2 linked regions of the Saccharomyces cerevisiae S288C genome follow. The protein of the gene in region 1 interacts with the protein of each later gene in a pairwise test. Each region holds a gene or a part of one and is shown in the gene's direction. Other genes may lie near its edges.

Region 1 (3,028 bases):
ATAGCCAAAAACCGATAAATGCATTAATGTTGTCACCTCCAGGTGATTTGCTGTCTTTATGCACTAACGCGCCAATCTCGTCCCCCTAAAAAATTAAGCCGACTCATCGCCTAATAGCATATAATAATCTTCCTCGAAAAGAATATACATGCATATTTGTAAACACATATATATATACGTAAACATACATATGTATATACGTGAACGATTGTGCCCTTTAGCAAGGCCAATGTGTAAGACTGATAGGATGAAAAAGTTTTAACGTTTAATTCTCATATATACAAACTGGCTGAATATGGTTTCCATGTTGTGCTACATAATATATAGAAACTACAATAGCCGACTGCCCCTTCGAAGGAAACAAATTAGCGTTGTGTGAGCATCGCTAGTTCTACCATCCGATTTCAGAAAGTCTTGCACCGTTTTTGCCTCCTGCTTCATTAATTGATTGGATGGAAATACCACCCATCAAGTCACCCAAATCGCTGGAAATTTGCAACAGTTTTGCTGGATTATCGTAGTGAGTCGTGGCTTCAACAATAGCACATGCTAACTTCTCAGGATCTGACGATTTGAATATACCTGAACCGACGAAAACACCTTCACAACCCAATTGCATCAATAGAGCAGCGTCTGCTGGAGTAGCAACTCCACCAGCAGCAAAATTGACTACAGGTAGCTTTCCCTCTGATAGTGTTGTCTTCAGCAAGTCGACAGGGACGCGTAATTCTGTGGCCTTAGCTGCAAAATCGGATTCGGTCTTCAAATTCTCTTTATACTGCTGGATCTCCGCCTTAATCTTGGTGATGTGCTTGACGGCCTCGGAAACGTCACCGGTACCTGCTTCACCTTTGGTACGGATCATTGCAGCACCTTCGTTTATTCTTCTCAAAGCCTCACCTAGATCCTTGGCACCGCAAACAAATGGCACCTTGAAGTTATGCTTCTCAATGTGATGTGTCCAATCAGCTGGAGTCAAAACCTCGCTTTCGTCAATGTAGTCTACTTGCAGCTCTTCCAGGATCTGTGCCTCCACGAAGTGTCCAATACGGACCTTTGCCATCACCGGAATTGAAACAGCTTCCATAATTTCTTTGATCATGCGAGGATCTGACATACGGCATACTTGGCCAGACTTGCGCATGTCAGCTGGAATGCGTTCCAATGCCATTACAGCACAAGCGCCCGCTCTTTCTGCGATAATAGCCTGTTCAGGTGTGACGACGTCCATAATCACACCGCCCTTTAACATTTGGGCAAGCCCAGTTTTAACCTTGAATTCTGACATTTTTGTCTTTTTTACGATATACTTATTTTTCTATTATAGTTCCTTTCCTAGAAGGGTCGAATAATAATGTGACTATGGTGGAGAAACATACTAGTTTTATATATGTGTGTGTGTGTGTGTGAAATTCATTCCACATGAACAAATAATTCTGATCTTTCCTTGCCACAACATTTTGCCATTCAAACGATATAATGTGCCTACTACTGTTATGCCATTGGGCGGCGCGTCACTTTATTGGAAACTGTAAGAATAGTTGAGCCATCTTTCATCATTCAGCTACAAAAAAAAAAAGTTATTCATTGATAAAAGCCCATTTTTTTCTGTTTGAGTAGCAAGCACACTTACCATGACCCCGGTTGCTGGGGCCAAGACAAGAGTAATATCTCAAAAATGACCGTCGTTATCGGAGTCTTGGCATTACAGGGTGCGTTCATTGAACATGTGCGACACGTAGAAAAATGCATCGTCGAAAACAGGGATTTCTATGAAAAAAAACTATCTGTGATGACAGTGAAGGATAAAAATCAACTAGCTCAATGTGATGCATTGATCATACCTGGGGGAGAGTCGACTGCAATGTCCCTTATTGCAGAAAGAACAGGATTTTACGACGATCTCTACGCATTCGTACACAACCCAAGCAAGGTAACCTGGGGTACTTGTGCAGGTATGATTTATATTTCACAACAATTATCTAACGAAGAAAAACTGGTCAAGACGCTGAATTTACTAAAGGTTAAAGTAAAAAGAAATGCATTTGGGAGACAAGCTCAGTCTTCTACCCGGATTTGCGACTTTTCAAACTTTATTCCTCACTGCAATGATTTTCCTGCTACTTTTATAAGAGCCCCAGTAATAGAAGAGGTGCTGGATCCTGAACATGTGCAGGTCCTGTACAAATTAGATGGGAAGGATAATGGTGGTCAAGAACTAATTGTTGCCGCTAAGCAAAAAAACAATATTCTTGCGACATCATTTCATCCGGAATTGGCAGAAAACGATATACGGTTTCACGACTGGTTCATCAGAGAATTTGTTCTTAAAAACTACAGTAAATAAAAGGGACGTATAGTATAGTTATGGAGAAAGGAGATCATCACTGTTCATTCTGAACTCGCCTCATTGAAACTTACCTATTTAGTTATACCCAAATGTATTGCATATGACTTTCTTTGAAAAATCATCACCCAAAGAACTGGTGTGGCCCCACGGTTTTCTCGAGTTTTCAGTGTCCACCACCGTAGCAAAACATGATAACCAGTGCAGTCTTGGAAATTGCTCGTTAATGGCACTAACTGTATCGATATGAATCAGATCGGTATTGGATCCGACATTGTCAAGCGTAGTAGCAATCTGCAGAATGAGCCCCAAGGTGGTAATGTAGCCAGTCCCAGTCAAATCCTGGTGACGAATGATGGCCTCAGTTACTGCATCTGCGTAGTCCTGATTTCCACCTGTCGCATTAAATACAAGCTCCCTTGAAAGTATGCCACCATAATACTCAAATGACATCTTCGTGGCTCTCATATTCTTATCTGTTGTTGCAATATCATGAAGTAAGCAGGTGACGTACAAAACTTCCTGATCCAAGTCCCATGCTGGAAATTGGTCTCTTATGATAGCTACACTATATTGAAAAACACGCAAAGAGTGGTTTAGAACGGGGGCAGTCAATTCTTTAGCGGCATATTCCCGAACAAGCCTAGCAGTTTCACTGTTTGGAGGCGGAACAACGGCCCG
Region 2 (3,617 bases), on another chromosome or scaffold:
CTAACTGATACTGGTTTAAAAGAGAAAGATGTCAAATATGCGGAGTTATACCATCAAACAACTTTGGACGGCCCCGAAACAAATGTCCGCAAAAAAGATCTTATTAAAGTGCATGGACACTATCATTTCTATAATACAAAATACTCCACCGCACAATAGTTTGTCGGGAAGTCATCAATCAATCTTGTACGAGCTTTACAAATAACTTTTTAGGATCGGTCCCCTCATAAAATTATATATAAATGGGTTAGTTTCCTTCTTCTTCTGTTAACATGAAGTTGCTTCGTACTGTTTTTTGCCTTGCTTCTCTTCAAAAGAATCAATCATGTCACAGTACGGATTTGTAAGAGTTCCTAGAGAGGTAGAAAAGGCCATTCCAGTGGTGAATGCACCTAGACCACGGGCCGTTGTTCCGCCTCCAAACAGTGAAACTGCTAGGCTTGTTCGGGAATATGCCGCTAAAGAATTGACTGCCCCCGTTCTAAACCACTCTTTGCGTGTTTTTCAATATAGTGTAGCTATCATAAGAGACCAATTTCCAGCATGGGACTTGGATCAGGAAGTTTTGTACGTCACCTGCTTACTTCATGATATTGCAACAACAGATAAGAATATGAGAGCCACGAAGATGTCATTTGAGTATTATGGTGGCATACTTTCAAGGGAGCTTGTATTTAATGCGACAGGTGGAAATCAGGACTATGCAGATGCAGTAACTGAGGCCATCATTCGTCACCAGGATTTGACTGGGACTGGCTACATTACCACCTTGGGGCTCATTCTGCAGATTGCTACTACGCTTGACAATGTCGGATCCAATACCGATCTGATTCATATCGATACAGTTAGTGCCATTAACGAGCAATTTCCAAGACTGCACTGGTTATCATGTTTTGCTACGGTGGTGGACACTGAAAACTCGAGAAAACCGTGGGGCCACACCAGTTCTTTGGGTGATGATTTTTCAAAGAAAGTCATATGCAATACATTTGGGTATAACTAAATAGGTAAGTTTCAATGAGGCGAGTTCAGAATGAACAGTGATGATCTCCTTTCTCCATAACTATACTATACGTCCCTTTTATTTACTGTAGTTTTTAAGAACAAATTCTCTGATGAACCAGTCGTGAAACCGTATATCGTTTTCTGCCAATTCCGGATGAAATGATGTCGCAAGAATATTGTTTTTTTGCTTAGCGGCAACAATTAGTTCTTGACCACCATTATCCTTCCCATCTAATTTGTACAGGACCTGCACATGTTCAGGATCCAGCACCTCTTCTATTACTGGGGCTCTTATAAAAGTAGCAGGAAAATCATTGCAGTGAGGAATAAAGTTTGAAAAGTCGCAAATCCGGGTAGAAGACTGAGCTTGTCTCCCAAATGCATTTCTTTTTACTTTAACCTTTAGTAAATTCAGCGTCTTGACCAGTTTTGCTTCGTTAGATAATTGTTGTGAAATATAAATCAAACCTGCACAAGTACCCCAGGTTACCTTGCTTGGGTTGTGTACGAATGCGTAGAGATCGTCGTAAAATCCTGTTCTTTCTGCAATAAGGGACATTGCAGTCGACTCTCCCCCAGGTATGATCAATGCATCACATTGAGCTAGTTGATTTTTATCCTTCACTGTCATCACAGATAGTTTTTTTTCATAGAAATCCCTGTTTTCGACGATGCATTTTTCTACGTGTCGCACATGTTCAATGAACGCACCCTGTAATGCCAAGACTCCGATAACGACGGTCATTTTTGAGATATTACTCTTGTCTTGGCCCCAGCAACCAGGGTCATGGTAAGTGTGCTTGCTACTCAAACAGAAAAAAATGGGCTTTTATCAATGAATAACTTTTTTTTTTTTTTGTAGCTGAATGATGAAAGATGGCTCAACTATTCTTACAGTTTCCAATAAAGTGACGCGCCGCCCAATGGCATAACAGTAGTAGGCACATTATATCGTTTGAATGGCAAAATGTTGTGGCAAGGAAAGAGCAGAATTATTTGTTCATGTGGAATGAATTTCACACACACACACACACATATATAAAACTAGTATGTTTCTCCACCATAGTCACATTATTATTCGACCCTTCTGGGAAAGGAACTATAATAGAAAAATAAGTATATCGTAAAAAAGACAAAAATGTCAGAATTCAAGGTTAAAACTGGGCTTGCCCAAATGTTAAAGGGCGGTGTGATTATGGACGTCGTCACACCTGAACAGGCTATTATCGCAGAAAGAGCGGGCGCTTGTGCTGTAATGGCATTGGAACGCATTCCAGCTGACATGCGCAAGTCTGGCCAAGTATGCCGTATGTCAGATCCTCGCATGATCAAAGAAATTATGGAAGCTGTTTCAATTCCGGTGATGGCAAAGGTCCGTATTGGACACTTCGTGGAGGCACAGATCCTGGAAGAGCTGCAAGTAGACTACATTGACGAAAGTGAGGTTTTGACTCCAGCTGATTGGACACATCACATTGAGAAGCATAACTTCAAGGTGCCATTTGTTTGCGGTGCCAAGGATCTAGGTGAGGCTTTGAGAAGAATAAACGAAGGTGCTGCAATGATCCGTACCAAAGGTGAAGCAGGTACCGGTGACGTTTCCGAGGCCGTCAAGCACATCACCAAGATTAAGGCGGAGATCCAGCAGTATAAAGAGAATTTGAAGACCGAATCCGATTTTGCAGCTAAGGCCACAGAATTACGCGTCCCTGTCGACTTGCTGAAGACAACACTATCAGAGGGAAAGCTACCTGTAGTCAATTTTGCTGCTGGTGGAGTTGCTACTCCAGCAGACGCTGCTCTATTGATGCAATTGGGTTGTGAAGGTGTTTTCGTCGGCTCAGGTATATTCAAATCGTCAGATCCTGAGAAGTTAGCATGTGCTATCGTTGAAGCCACGACTCACTACGATAACCCAGCAAAACTATTGCAAGTTTCCAGCGATTTGGGTGACTTGATGGGTGGTATTTCCATCCAATCAATTAATGAAGCAGGAGGCAAAAACGGTGCAAGACTTTCTGAAATCGGATGGTAGAACTAGCGATGCTCACACAACGCTAATTTGTTTCCTTCGAAGGGGCAGTCGGCTATTGTAGTTTCTATATATTATGTAGCACAACATGGAAACCATATTCAGCCAGTTTGTATATATGAGAATTAAACGTTAAAACTTTTTCATCCTATCAGTCTTTCACATTGGCCTTGCCTAAAGGGCACAATCGTTCACGTATATACATATGTATGTTTACGTATATATATATGTGTTTACAAATATGCATGTATATTCTTTTCGAGGAAGATTATTATATGCTATTAGGCGATGAGTCGGCTTAATTTTTTAGGGGGACGAGATTGGCGCGTTAGTGCATAAAGACAGCAAATCACCTGGAGGTGACAACATTAATGCATTTATCGGTTTTTGGCTATGATGCAATGAGTACAGTTCCAATTGAACGGCTCATGAACTATGAAATATACGAATTATTCAACTAGCAGAAGGCTTGAAATATTACTTATTCAGATTATGAAAATGGTGCTGTTATAGCAAAATAAGCAACATCAATCTCTTGCGACGACAGCAAACAAAACATATAAAAACCTCGTATTATCAT

What was found.
Region 2: the proteins of SNO2 (region 1) and SNZ3 interact in a two-hybrid assay, tested with the Saccharomyces cerevisiae proteins (2 studies listed by BioGRID).

The regions. Positions count from the first base shown.
Region 1 is NC_001146.8:11,527-14,554, reverse strand, and holds SNO2 (putative pyridoxal 5'-phosphate synthase), read left to right. Parts: upstream 1-1,678; coding exon 1,679-2,347; downstream 2,348-3,028. Other genes in the region: pyridoxine biosynthesis protein SNZ2, read right to left, coding at 392-1,288; DDI2 (cyanamide hydratase), read right to left, coding at 2,426-3,028. UniProt on the Saccharomyces cerevisiae protein: Catalyzes the hydrolysis of glutamine to glutamate and ammonia as part of the biosynthesis of pyridoxal 5'-phosphate. The resulting ammonia molecule is channeled to the active site of a SNZ isoform.
Region 2 is NC_001138.5:9,220-12,836, forward strand, and holds SNZ3 (pyridoxine biosynthesis protein SNZ3), read left to right. Parts: upstream 1-2,143; coding exon 2,144-3,040; downstream 3,041-3,617. Other genes in the region: DDI3 (cyanamide hydratase), read left to right, coding at 326-1,003; SNO3 (putative pyridoxal 5'-phosphate synthase), read right to left, coding at 1,082-1,750. UniProt on the Saccharomyces cerevisiae protein: Catalyzes the formation of pyridoxal 5'-phosphate from ribose 5-phosphate (RBP), glyceraldehyde 3-phosphate (G3P) and ammonia. The ammonia is provided by a SNO isoform.